Macaca fascicularis: one gene and its partners. The protein of the gene in region 3 purifies or fractionates together with the protein of the main gene of each other region. This does not show direct contact. Links are inferred from orthologs where the notes say so. Each region holds a gene or a part of one and is shown on either strand. Other genes may lie near its edges.

What was found.
Region 1: the proteins of FBXL5 (region 3) and ACO1 purify together in Homo sapiens (affinity purification with western blotting; 3 studies listed by BioGRID, with this or other methods). This does not show direct contact. The link is inferred for Macaca fascicularis from reciprocal best matches to the Homo sapiens genes FBXL5 and ACO1.
Region 2: the proteins of FBXL5 (region 3) and MMS19 purify together in Homo sapiens (affinity purification with mass spectrometry; 4 studies listed by BioGRID and IntAct, counting the BioPlex papers as one, with this or other methods). This does not show direct contact. The link is inferred for Macaca fascicularis from reciprocal best matches to the Homo sapiens genes FBXL5 and MMS19.

Annotation. Positions count from the first base shown.
Region 1 is NC_088389.1:66,706,916-66,711,713, forward strand, and holds the start of ACO1 (cytoplasmic aconitate hydratase), read right to left. Parts: upstream 2,887-4,798; 5' UTR 2,802-2,886; intron 1-2,801. UniProt on the Homo sapiens protein: Bifunctional iron sensor that switches between 2 activities depending on iron availability. Iron deprivation, promotes its mRNA binding activity through which it regulates the expression of genes involved in iron uptake, sequestration and utilization.
Region 2 is NC_088383.1:106,448,531-106,453,252, forward strand, and holds the start of MMS19 (MMS19 nucleotide excision repair protein homolog), read right to left. Parts: upstream 2,887-4,722; 5' UTR 2,858-2,886; coding exon 2,746-2,857; intron 1-2,745. Other genes in the region: UBTD1 (ubiquitin domain-containing protein 1), read left to right, coding at 3,690-3,759. UniProt on the Homo sapiens protein: Key component of the cytosolic iron-sulfur protein assembly (CIA) complex, a multiprotein complex that mediates the incorporation of iron-sulfur cluster into apoproteins specifically involved in DNA metabolism and genomic integrity.
Region 3 is NC_088379.1:14,799,450-14,803,995, forward strand, and holds the start of FBXL5 (F-box/LRR-repeat protein 5), read right to left. Parts: upstream 3,060-4,546; 5' UTR 2,990-3,059; coding exon 2,906-2,989; intron 1-2,905.

The DNA.
Region 1 (4,798 bases), on a different chromosome or scaffold from region 3:
ATCATACACCCTATATCTAGGATCTTGTCTAGGCTAAAGAGTCTGTTTTCTACTAAGAAAACAAACCAAAAGCACCTTAGCTCAGACAATAGCAGTGTCAGCTGGCAAAGGTTTAACAACTTGAATTCCAGGAGGAAAAAAAAACTCTGATGTAGTATTTGCTGATTTCCATGGTGTAATTATTCCCACCATGGCTTATTTCAATCTAAAAAAAGGTGTTGCCACTGAACACGGAATTAGGAAGAGATATGCACAAACGCTAGTATGCCTTGGGACACTTACTATCAATGGCCTAACTCCTCATTTTAAAGTCAAAGACATTGAGACCCAGAGAAGGTGTCTTAACCCGAGGCTGGCCCAGTGACTGGCACCAGGTTGGAGGTAATTTCCCTGTGAGTCTGGCTGCCTCCCAGGAAATTACTTCCTACGTAGAAGGAAGAGTGGGGGAAAGAAGGAAAAGGAAGTTCTTTGCCAGGTACCTGGTGATACGCGTTGGTTTTTATCATCATCTTCACAGTGTGGGACTCTGGTTTCTTCAGCACATGCCTCTGAGGCACACTTTAGGTAGGGGGTACTGCTCTTCACACAGGACCAGCTTTCATGTACACTCTGACAACAGACTATCTCAATTAACCAGCAGTTATCTAAGCTATCAGACCATAATTGCCAGAAAGACAGGGACTGCATCTTTTGTGCTCACTACTTTCCTGGCATCCCGCACGTAACTGGACACATGAGAAAGAGGTGGCCAATAAAAATCTACTGAAAGAATGAAGGAATGAGACCCCATCACCAAAGTGGAATTTTTTAATACAAAGAACACAGCAGGTGCTCAGAGTTTAGATCCCATTTCCTTCTCCTGTGGACTTCTCCTTCTCACCTGTGGACTGTGCAACACACACAACATGCTCATGTGCATGCAACACTTCTCAAGTATCGGCCGTAGCATTTAAACTAATCCATCAGAGCACAAGAGGCTCTATGGATGAAGGAACAAAAGGGAGGATGGAGTCAGAAAATTTCTTCATCCCATATATATACACGTAACATCTGTCTTGAACTTGTTCTGACAAGGCACAAAGCTAAGGAAAGAGTCCCATGAAGGACCTCACCTACCACACTGCAGGATGGTGGAAATTGCTTTTTGACAGGGGCTGAGGAAGCATCACTCAGAGTGATACACCTCTGAAAGTGGAAAGTGAAAGAACATCAAGACTGGGAATCATTATTCCAATAAACTCAAGGCTAATAACCATGCAACTGCAAACAGCAATGAACACGTGCAAGGGAAGGCAAAAGCATGCCTCCCTGTTCTTTGGGAAATAACTTCCTGACTACTTGGTAACTATCACACGAACCCCTACACACTTGGCACGGTCTTCCCATTGGTACTTTTCTGAGCCCACATGTCCTGTTTGCCACATCACTGTTGTAATCCTGATGAACAGACAGGTCAGTTCTGCAGGCACAGAAACAACCAAAGGCATGTGTGAAACCGTGCTGACTTTTCAGGAGGCTGGCAAGGTTCATCACAGCCTCACAGGGGACCTAGTACATGGTTTCCAAAGTGAGATCCAACTTGGTTCCAGATACCAGAAGTTAACACTGTCCATGGCATGGGGTGGTGAGTGTTCCCATTCAGAGGAAGGATCACAAACAAGAAGCAGGCCCAATGAATGAAGCCTCTGAAGCATCCTCAAAGTGTGGTGCAGAGAACTCCTAGGGATCTCCAAGGTCAAAAACCACTTTCATAGTAATAAAACGTTACTCGCTTTTTTTCACTCACGCATTTTCAGGAGTATACAATGGAGGTCTCAAGAGGCTACATGATATGCGATACTGCAACAGACTGCAGAAGCAGCTATCGAAATCCAGCTGTCTTCAATTATGCTTGACATCAAAGAGATTTGCAAAAATGTAAAACAATGCCATTCTTCTCAATAATTTTCTGTTTTGGAAAATATAGTTCTTTTTCACAAAAATAGGCAATATTAAGATATAATTAGCTCATTATTCTTTTTAAATGAATTATTAAATATAGTAGAAATTTCTGTCTTACACATTATAAATATGGATAGATATAACTCACATAAAAGCTCCTTAAGATACTAATTTTTAAGAGTGTAAAGGGGTACTGAGTCCCAAAAAAGTTTGGGGACTTCTGTCCTAGAGGTTGTCCCCCAGGGAAGAGAATTGTGTGTGTTGCAAGAAGGAAGATGCCATTACGATGTGCTAGCTAAACGTGGAAAAAAATGACTTGGTCATAACTGCAGCCCAAGCTCCTTTCTGGATCTCTGAATCTATCAGGGTGGGCTCTGTGTTCAAGCCTCCCACGTAAGGGTCTCTTCCCCCTCATCCCATTTTCCCTTTACCCCTTGGAGTGCATTCCCGGATCTGCCCGCACAACTTTAGCAAGCGTTTCCCTACCCAGCTAGCCGGGCCTGGGCGATGACTCCCAGTGCGGGCCTCACGGCCTCGGGGTTAGGACTCCCAGGATCGGCCGCACACCCTAGACAAGGACTTTCAGGACAGCACGCACAGCCAAGGCTAAGAGGGTCTAGGAAAGCCATTTCCAATCCCTGGTCCCTCTCTTCGGCATGGCATAGACTGGGGACTGGGGGGGACGTCAGTCGCCAGAAACACGTCCCCGATTCTCCTCTCAGCCTCCACAAGCTCGCCTCCGAGTCCCCCGGGCCGCACTGCCTCAGGCACCTCGGTAAAGGCCCGCACCGACTCCCGAAGGATACAGGGTGGACGGCGCTCCCGCCTGGGGACGTGGGCCGGGCAACGTCGGTACTCACCTCCGACTGCACGGTGGGGCTCCCGCGACCGGCGCACCAGACCCAAGGAGCGGGACGCGTCCCCGTGCGCTGCGCGGTTTCAGCTGCCGCCTCCACGCTCCGCCCCCTCTCGCCCCCGGGGCCGCCGCGCGATGGGCGGAGCAGGGGCGGGACTGGCGGGCAGCGAGCCGAGGAAGGGGCGGAGCCTGCGGGCGCCCTCGCGGGCCCGGAGGACTTCGCCCGGGGCAGGAGTCGAGGGTTGCGAAAGGCTCCTCCGTAGGATGTGGGAGAGCTGATCCCTCCGCCCGGTCCGCTTCTGCCAGCCTGAGTCCTGGGACGAGGGTGTCTTGCTCACTTTGGGGCTTAGCATTCCTAACGTCCAGCCGGCGTTAGGAAGTGACCAAAGGGTAGGGAAGAAATGGAATTATTTAAAAAACATGATTTGGCCATAACTGCAGAGGTTTCATGTACTGCAGAGGTTTCATGCAAAGGTTTCATGTACGTGTGGTCACTTCGTCCGCCTCCCTTCTCACTTTGTCCCTACCCACCCTCTCCAACCTCGCCTTAATTCTTTGCGCAAAGCCTGCCAAGTGGGCATCGGAGTCACGCTGTCAGAGTAGGACTTCAGCATTTCCGTGGCAAAAGTTCTATGTGTAGATTTCCTTGGACATGTCACAACACTTTCTAATACACGATGTTCCCCGATCTGAAGTCAGAAAAATGGCTGGGAGATGGCACTAGGTGGACTTTCACAAGACCTGCTTTTCATGTTGGTTGGAGTTTTGCCCTTTTGGGTGAATGTGCGTTCAAAGAAGTGATTAGATCTTTCTAGATAAAAGGTGGTGAGTTTTTCCCGCCCAAATTATTTGGAAAGTTACTGTAGTTTTCCGAATAAGCAGCTTATAGGATGAGTAAACAATAGCCAGTACTAATAGCCCCCTGCTACCTTATACTGCCCTTCTACTCTGCACAAAGCCCTGTGATGGACTCTTTCCACGTTACTCAGTTCAGCTCTTCCAACCACCCTACAGGTAAAGAATATTACCCGTCTTTGCAGGTGTGCAATGTGCAACAGCTGAGACTCAGTCCGTAGGTTGATTTGACGCCAAAGCCTACACCTTCCCTGTCATGCTGCACTATAGGGTACATCTATCATCTAGTTATATTTAACTTTGAAATATAAATACTTATATTTATTTTGAAAGAGGAAGTAACTGTATTTCCAATATGAGAGGAGACTTTCTTCCCACCCACTTCCTAAATCCTTTCCATTCACATTAGTAATTAAATTTTCTTTGAGTCTCCACCATATGGCAGAGGTGCACCACAATCTCTGCAAAATCGTGCTCCATTCTCCTTCGGAGGTAGGGAGAGTAGGGCAAGGTGAGAGCGAGTAGAAGGCTGGGGAAGTCCGATGAGGACACATCCAGCTAGATTTCAATTCTTAATGAGGCAGCCATTCGGAAAGCGAAGTATCTAATGTTCAATGATAGCATCCGTGTAACTGAGAATCCTTTGCAGTAAATAATCAAATCAGAGCTATGAAGGGAATTGAGATTTATTAGTAAGCATGCTGGCCAAAACCGTGAAGGAAATAGTTCCACATTCCCCCAGTCTGTTGTTCTTGGACGTTGTCACCAGTGACATGCAGATCGTGAATCCCAGGGCCTGTCCTCAGTTCCTGTCCTTACTCACTGCTCTGTGGTATTTGACACGGGCGATTCGTTTTCCTTGAAATGTTAACCTCCTTTTGGCTTTTTAGCCCTCCACTCTTAGGAGTCACCTCTTCCCTCTTTGGCCCCTCTTTTTTACGGTCTTTCATTACACTCTCCCCTCTTGCTTTGTATGTTTCTCCATTTGCTGAGTTTTTCTTCATCTATTTTCTCACTATGCAGACTGCCTGCCACTTCTAGCTGAAGCCTGCTATATGTCTGTCATTGGTCTTACTTAACCTTCTGACCTTCACACTCTTGATTTGCAGCCATATGTGGCAACCCCACCTGGATATTCCAAAGGCA
Region 2 (4,722 bases), on a different chromosome or scaffold from region 3:
TTCTTTTCTTTTCTTTTTTTGTTTTTTTTTTGGTTTTTTTTGAGACGGAGTCTCACGCTGTTGCCCAGGCTGGAGTGCAGTGGCGCGATCTCGGCTCACTGCAAGCTCCGCCTCCCGGGTTCCCGCCATTCTCCTGCCTCAGCCTCCTGAGTAGCTGGGACTACAGGCGCCCGCCACCGCGCCCGGCTAATTTTTTGTATTTTTAGTAGAGACGGGGTTTCATTGTGGTCTCGATCTCCTGACCTTGTGATCCGCCCGCCTCGGCCTCCCAAAGTGCTGGGATTACAGGCTTGAGCCACTGCGCCCGGCCTCTTTTCTTTTTTTGAGACGGAAGTCTTGCTCTGTCGCCCAGGCTGGAGTACAGGGGCGTGATTTCTGCTCACTGCAGCCTCCACCTCCCAGGCTCAAGCGATTCTCCAGCCTCAGCCTCCTGAGTAGCTGGGATTACAGGCATGCACCACCACGCCTGGCTAATTTTTGCATTTTCGGTAGAGACGGGGTTTCACCATGTTGGCCAGGCTGGTCTCAAACTCCTGGGCTCAAGCGATCTGCCTACTTTGGCCTCTCGAAGTGTTGGCATTACAGGCATGAGCCACCGTGCCCAGCACCAACTTTCTTAAGAGGGCTAAATTACAACAGGGTTAGTGTTACAGTCTTAGATCAGCTGAGTTGAATTCAAACTAAACAGTTTAGACCATTTTTTCCGGAAAGAAACAAAAATATAAATTTTGCAAAAACATTTGTAAGAATTAAGCAGTCCCAGTGGCTCATGCCTGTGATTCCAGCACTTCGGGAGGCTGAGATGGGAGGATGGCTTCAGTCCTGGAGTTAGAGACCAAGCTATGCAACATGGTGAAACCTTGTCACTACAATACAAAAATTAGCCGAGCGCAGTGGCACAAGCCCTGTTGTCCCAGCTACTCCGGGAGGCTGAGGCAGGAGGATTGCTTGAGCATAGGTCGAGGCTACAGTGAGCCATGATTTCAACATTGCACTCCAGCCTGGCAGACAGAGCGGGACCTTGTCTCAAAAAAAAAAAAAAAAAAAAGAGAAGAATTTAGAAGTCCTTATTCAAGATAAGACATTCAAGATATTTTTTCAAAATATGTTCTGAATCCAAAAAATCAGTAATTATTGTTTTCATATTGCATAAATGTGAAAGACTCATCACAAATGACACTGATATAGTAATGTTCTGTATCTTGGTAGGGGGTTGGATTGTATAGGTATATGCATTAGTCAAAATCAGTGAATGTACACTTAAAGATTTATATATTTCATTGAATATACATTTTACACCAAAATAAACCGTCAACAAACTCTAGTCAATGATATCCATGCCAAAGTATTTAAAGGAAAGTGTACAGGTATCTGCAATTTAAATAGATGGATAGCTGTATGATAAAGCAGATCCTAAGTGATGTATTCCTTATAAAATTCTTTATACTTGGCTGGATATTTGAAAATTTTCATAATAAAACATGAGGGAAAACGACATTATTAAGACACTGTACTTGTAAATTGTAAACACTGATAACACACTACATTTCATAAAATTGTAAGATGTTGTTTGGTGGCAGCACCAGGTATTTGCTCCTTGATGCTTCCAAATTACCCTGCACATCCCTCTTATAGAATAGTTGCCTCTCCCAGCATACTATAAGTTTCCGGTGGGCACAGATCTAACCTAATTTGTATTTATATTCCTTAGGCTTTGCATCATGTTTGGGAAATAATATGTGTTCAACAATAGTGGCATGACTGAATCAAAGTGGAATACTGCTAACGAACAAAGTATTTTATTTCCAGCAGATTCACTATTCTTTTCTTACACATTCTAAAGGTTAATACGCTCAGTTTGCAAGAGAAATGTGTCCTTACTTCTCTCCAAGCATGCGAAATTTCCAAAATTTTTTAAACTACCCATTAGACAATTTTATATTGTTACTTAAACCCAAGATCTGAAGCCTTCCTAACATTCAATAACTTTTTAGTAGATTTTTTTTTCCTAGAAGAGCAAAGTCTCAGAACTCCACGGAAGCCTGGAAATTGTTTTATTCTAATTTTAGATAAGCTGTCTGAACTAAGAGATCTCTGAACTTGTCAAAAGCAGGCAAAGTGGGGGTCTGGGAAGAAGATAAAAACAAACGCCACATAAAACGTCATGGAGCAAACTAATCAAGAACTTTGGCAAGAAACGGAGAGAAAGTCTTAAGGAGGACACCCAGAACATCTCCAGCTCCTCCTGGCCCGACTCCTCGCCTCCTCTTAATTCCAGCCAGTCAGAGCGCGGGGCCATCCGCCACTCCCAGGATGCCACGCGACGGGAGCGGACGCTGCGAGGATGCACCTCCACACGTCAACCTCCCACAAACAGCGTGGCTTCGTGGCTTGAGCACCCGGTTCGGACGTGAACGCCTGGGTCCGAGTCCCAGCTCCCCCTCCTGCCTTGTCTGCAGCCCTGCGCAAGTCCTCTTGCCCTCGCTGAGCCTCAGTTTCCTCATCTGTAAAATGTAATAATTCCCTATAATTGGCTATAGGGAGATGAAAAGTGTAAATGGTTTTAAGGAAGACACAGGCAACTCTCCAACTTGTTACGGCTCTGAAGCTCGCGGTGCTCACTAACCAGCCTTGAGACCAATCTCTCAAAGTCACCCGCTCCTCCTTTCCCGCCCGGCGCCTGTACCGAGGCCGCTCCCTCCTGTTGGCCCCCATGCGGAAGGCGCGCGGCGCCGTCTGCCGTACCTGCAGCCACCTGGTCAGCGGGGCCCTCTTGTTGACCCATGACGAAGTCGTGCACGAGGCCCCATAGGGCGCCCGTAGGCGCCGCCGCCTCCAGAGCCGCGGCGGCGGCCATGACGCGAACAAGAGACCGTGGGAGGGGATATGGGCGGTGGCAAGAGACGGGCCTCTCCGCGCATGCGCCTCCCGAGGCAATCGCGGGGAGAAGGCCAAGGGGGCGGGGCGCACCGGGTCACGTGCCTACCGGCTTCTAGCCAGGCAGTTCCATGGAGGGGCGGGGCCTGGAATGGGGCGGCGGCACCGAGAGGGAAGGCGGCTGCTGGGCACGCAGCCGGAGGCCATTGAGGGCGAATAATTCCCGGCCCGGCTCCCCGGGAGACGGGCGGCGGGGCGGGCACCTGGCTGGGTGGGGAGAGGGGCGGTACGCACCACGGGGGAAGCCAATGAGAAAATCAGGCCCAGCCCGAGGGGGCGGTGCTGTCGGTCACATGCGCACCTGGGGCGGGTGGTGGCGGCGGCGCGGGCACCGCGAGCCGGCGGTGGGGAGCGGGGCCGGCCTGGGGCGGGGTTAGGCAGGTGAGTGACAGGCTCCAGGGGGCCGGCCCCTGCCTGGAGCCCCGAGCGACCGGGAGTAGCTGCGGCGGTGCCCGCCCCCTCTCTCCGCCCCTCCAGCGGAGCTGGTCTCCGGCCGGGCACCGTCGCGGGCCCCCCTGGCCCGGCCACCTGGGACTGTGCTAGGGAGTCTGCCACCTCCCTCTCTCCCCTGGCCCGCAAAGTTTTGCCGGAGCCAGCGCCGGGGCTGAGCGCGCCCCCGGGGGGAGATCGGGGAGCGCCAGATGCCGGGCGGCCGGAGCCGTTGACCCGGGACGCCGCCGTCCGGGGCAGGAGCGCGGAGCAGCCGACCACCTCGCCGCCTCCGGTGCATGGGGACTGGCTGAGGAGCCAGCATGGGCAACTGCGTGGGGAGACAGCGGCGGGAGAGGCCGGCAGCCCCGGGACACCCCCGCAAGCGAGCAGGTAACGACGGGGAAGGGAGCAGGGCCTCGGGCACCCCGCCAGTTGTCCCCCTCCTCGCCCGAGCTCTAGGCTTACCGATAGACTCCCCACTGGTGCTGGCGCTTGGGTTTCCCCGATAGCCTGCTCCGCAACCAGACGGGGCCGCTCCCCAGCGCCGGGCGAGCTGAGTTGGGGCAACTGCGAGCACTGAGCCGGCTGCGCGACCAACTCTCTCCAACTGGGAAGCTCCTGGTGGGGGTGGGGGCAGGAAATGTTTGCAGACCGCAGCGGGGCCGACGGATTGCGGGGAGGGCCCGGGGCGAGGGCGCCGCTGGCCTGGCAGCTCCGGCCGGGGTCGGACACCGGCCCGTCGGGGCACGGCGCGGGCAGCCAGGCGTCCCCAGAACTTGGAGCGAGCGGGGCGAGAACAGTCGCTCCTTCCAAAGACTGTGTCATTATCGGGCTGCAGATCGTGTCTGCCGGAATCCGACTTGCAAAGCAGCGCAGGACTCTGGGAAAGAAATCTTTATTTTTCCCGCAGGGGTTTTTAGAGCCTCTCGGTCGTCTGGGAGTCTATAAAAGATGGGGTGCGGGGTGAGAGTCACCCTCGGAATTGTTGGGATCCTTCCTAGCTGTGGGAGTGAGATCGCTCGCTGGTGATTCTCGAGGCCGGTTTCTCAACGCTTTCTCACTTTCATGGTACACCCCGCTTGCCCTGGCATTTCGCCCCGGAAAGAGGTCTGTCGGTCATTTTTCTGGGTCTTACACTCACTTCCTTCTTTGAGGGTGTTGCAAGGACCTGCTGGGAATAAAATCGTAGACTTGAGAGCTCAAAGGGACCTTCAAAACTTATCTGGATTCCAGATGGATCTTTGTCCTCCTCTCCATGTCAAAGCCCAGATCCCAAGAGGTTGAGCACCTTGTCCAAAGTCACACAGCTAGTTAGGAGCACAGCTGGGGCTAGAACTCAGCCTCCTCTCCCAC
Region 3 (4,546 bases):
AATGACTTGGGTTTCCATCCGGATCTACCACTAGCTGCTTATGTAACCTTGGCCTAGCTAATCTAGGCCTGTAAGTCCCCAGCAATAAAACAGAAATACTTTGTCTTTACATAACTCAAAGCACTGTTGTCTGGATAACAAAGGTGAAAATCCTTTCCATAAAACTTTTTACAAATGTAAAAAGAAATCTATGGGCAAAGTATTAAATCAGGTATTAGACAGCAATATTTAAAATGGTCTAAGACATACATCTGTCAGCTTTTGAAAATTTGTTTTATTTTCTCATCCTATTCAACTTTCTACCTAAAAAATAAGTAGACTAAGATAACTTTGGAACACATTATACTAACTAGTTTAAGCATATAAGTGGTTTACTTGATGCTAGCAAATAAATGGATGCTTCTAAAATACATTGTACTTGAGAAGTTCAGTATTGAAAATAGTAACTGACTTCTTTATAATAACTGGGCATTCAGAGCCCAAATTTGGACTACAGTACAGTGAAATAACTATTTTGTACCTTTTTAGTTTGAGCATAAAAACTAGTTCTCATTTTGTATAGTTTTATTGTAAACTGTGTTCAATGGGATATCCTTGGTCTATACAACCAAAGGATAATGGCAAAACGTGAGATGATAAATGAATAAAAACAAACAAGGTACTCTTCCTTTAATTCCTTTAAGATTACTGAGCCATTACAAAATAATTATTTTCCACTCTAGCTCCCAAAGGACATCCTAAGAGAGATTTCCATTGGCTATCATTATCAAGAAGAAATCTGGATGTAAAATTCCTATGCAGTTTTTTTTTTCCCTAAATCTCCTCGGTCTCAGTTCAGAAAATTGGACTTTTAATCTTCTTCATAAACATATACAACAATCTCATTAACTATATCTAATTAATTCAGAATTAGTAATAATTTTGACTTACACTATGTCAAATTGAAAATGCTTTATTAAACTAGTTATGCAAATAGGAACATTACTGAAAAGAATCTTACTTGACTCAGATATTTTGTAAAAAAGCAACTGCATTTTCAAAATTTGTTCAAATATTCTCAACCACCAGGAAGAGACACAGAAAAAGAGTGACTAACTTGTTGAAAATTTTAAAATAAGGCTGGTGAGCGTAGTCTGCAAGTAAATTAAATTGTGATTATTTTGGGAGGTCACAATCATCTGGAAATCGATGAAAGCTACAAACCCCCTAGGAAAATGGGCACATGCACAAAATTCTCCATATAATTTCAGTTGATCGTAGGCTACCTCTCCACAGTTTAAACTGGAGAGAAAACTTGGATTCTGTTAGTCTCAACTTCCACTTTCGATTTTTGAGACCAATTTTTTTCTTTCCTGCTATTAAAGAATGTTGTCTGAATGAACCAAATTCAAAAGCCAGAGAGGATAAAAACACAACAATACTGCTAACTAAAAAATTCAGGGATATACCCTTTCCATTAATGGCTTAACCATTCCTCATGCTTCTCCTAGATAAGTGGTTCTCACCCTCAGCTGCATACTGCACTCAACTGGAGAGCTTTAATCATCTATAACTGATGTCTGGGTGAAATCCTAATTTTAGTCACATAAACATCAGGATTTCTAATAGTTTTTAGGTTAAGGCTAATAAGCATCCGAGGTTGCAAACCACTGTCCTAGACAGTCCTGGTGTTTCCAACTACGTGTGAACTGGGTATTTCTAAATTTTCAGAATGGAGGGAGGGAGAAGATGGAGTGCTAAGATTTGAAATTCAACGTCACTGCTTTAAATTGCTGGTCTTGAGTGTGGCCTAGCAGTGAACACCCTGGGCATTCTCCAATCGCCTGGCTTAACTATGAAACACCCCTCTTTTCTGTAGACAATGGTTCTGCATAATGCTATGCAATTTCTGAGAATTCCTAAAAGTTGATTTCTATGCTTAAACAGTAGTCATTTGAATGCTTTATGTAGTTGGATCATTTCCACAAGAAACGGGACTGCCTGAGGTTTGCAGATATCCATGTGACTTTTCCCAACATAAACTGACAAATATGTGGAATGTTAAATATTGTTTTAAAATCATTAGCAAAGGGCCCTGAATCATCTCCACAAAAGTGCCTCTTCAGCTTATGCTGCACCAATTATGAGCCCAAAATGGTTCTCACAGTTAAACCAACTTTTCCCGAGGCCCCCTTTATTCGAGCTTATGTAAAGAATTCCAAGAATTGCTGTCTTATAACAAAATCTACATCTAGTAAGTGGTCAAGGCAATAAAAGTTGCAAAGAAAACGATAACGACATATGAAGAGTGAAGGTTCTTCAGTTCTAAACTTGGCTTTTCCCCCAAATCAAACCAGTGAAAAAAGCTGGGGGTAAAAGGAACCCGGTAGCTGGGAGACGCCGCAGTTCCAGCCAGGAAGCCAGCGAGAGGTTCAGAGGATGGGTGGGTGTCTGCACGGAGAGCCCCGAACAGGCCCGGGGGAGTGACGGAGAACGGGAACAACTGCTCGGTGCGGATGGGAGTCCACCGCAGGTGGCCGGCCGGGGCACCCAGGGCTTCGGGGAGGTAGGGCCGCTCTCCTTAGAGGCAGCAGCGGGAGGCCCAGGGCGGCGGTGGGGCCGGCGCGAGGGCGGCCAGTGACCCCGGCAGCGCCCCTCCTCAGGCGCCAGGCCCTCGGCAGGGGACGCCGCCCGCCCCGAGAGCACGTCCGAGGCGGCGGCCAGGCGGGGAGGCCGGCTCTGCGAGGGCCCCGCAGCGGGCGGGGAGGCTGCGGGAACCGGCAGCGCTGACAGCTGCGCAGGCGGCTACTCGCGCGGCGACGGCACGGGGCTGCGGGCGCGGCACAGGCCAGGCCGCCCCAGTAACCCAGCCAGCTCCCCATCGCCGCCCGCACCGCCCACAGCAGGAGGCTTGGCGCTCCGTTACCTTGTCGCAGTAGAGCCCCACCAGCTGCTTCATCCGCCAGTGTGGGGCGGTGAAGACGTCCACTTCTTCAGGGAAGGGCGCCATCGCCACTGCCTCAGCCTCCGCCTCAGCAGCCGCGGCCGCCGCCTCTCCATAGACACCCTCGCCGCGGGGCAGAGGCGGCGCGCCCCCTTGCGCATGCGCCCGCCCCGTCGGCGCGCGCGCCCGGTCAGCCTGGCCGGCAGGAACGCGGGGGCGCGCAGGCCGCCGCCATGCGGTCCCTGCGGCCCACGTGACCGGGCGCGCGCAGAGGCTCGCGGCTTCTGCCTCCCGCCCCCACTCTTTTCGTTTCTTGTCCTCTTCCTATGCAGCAGAAAGAACCCAAACCTTTACCCTGTCTCTTTCACTAGATGAAAGCACAGTATCTGAGAGTAGGGGAAAGTCGTTTCAGTGGCGCTCTCGGCGCTTCTCCCATTTCTGCCCAGCCCACCAGGCGTTGAGGAGAGGCAGCCAAGCACAATGGCCGCAGTCGGGGCCGCGAGCTCTGCCTGTGCCCAGGCCCCGACGCCTGCTTGGCCTGGGTGACCAATGCGTCTGGCCGGGACCTCCAGAGCTACCCTTTGCCTCCCTGCGATTGGCCCGTGCCAGACTTTTTCTGGGGCCAAGTGCAGACCACCCCGCCCGCCAGTCAAAGGTCGGGCCTGGCTCCCGCCCAGCGGTTGGTGAACCAGGGCTGCGGGCTCTGAGAGCTTCGGTCCCGGGCGGCAGCCCACCGCGGGCGCGGGGCCTGGGTGCGAGGGGCGGGACAGAGACCGCGAGAGAGAGACCTGGTGGAATTCGGAAGTCTCAACGCGGGGAAAAACAGTATCTAGGGATCCAGGTGCCGAAATGCACCTCAAGTGCTGGAACGCGGGTCAGGGATAGGCCCGACGGGCCTTGGGGGTGGGAAGAAGGGTGAATAACGGAAGGTTAGTGCGGTAAAGAACCTTGGTACAAATCCCGCCATTTTAAGCGGAGGTTCGGAGAGAAAACAAGATCACTAAACCAGGGAAATGTCTGTCTCTTCCCCATAAATAGCCTGGCCCTCGCCACAGACCTCCTGGAGACCCTGTTCTCTGCTGACGCTTGTCAGTCTTAGATTGGTTGGCTGGAGTACTGCTGGGCAGACAGGGAAACAGGAGAAAACAGGGAAGCCTGAGAACCTTGAGAGGAATTGTTATTTGCTTAATGGCCAGAACCTCCAGGAGAGCAAGAACCAGATATGCTGTGTTCACCCTTGTTCTCTATTATCTATCACAGTTGCAAGACAACATGGGGATCAGTAAATATTCAACAAATAATGGAGTAGAAGGAGGTGAGAAAGAACTTTGCAGTGGAATGCACCCTATTTAGTTCTAATCTTATCTTACTATATGCTATTATAGACAGTCAGTGTAAACAGTGGTTAAACCACAGACTCTGGAAATGAAGTTAAGATTTCTGGTTTTGCCAGACACTAGCTATACAACCGTTAACAAGCTATATGACCTCTTTGTGCCTCAGTTTGTTCTTACATGAAATGAGGCTAGTAATACCTACCTCAGAATCTTTATGAGGATTGAGTTTATATATTTGAAGCACTTATAATAGTACCGTCTGTAAGCTATCAATACTTTTTAAAAG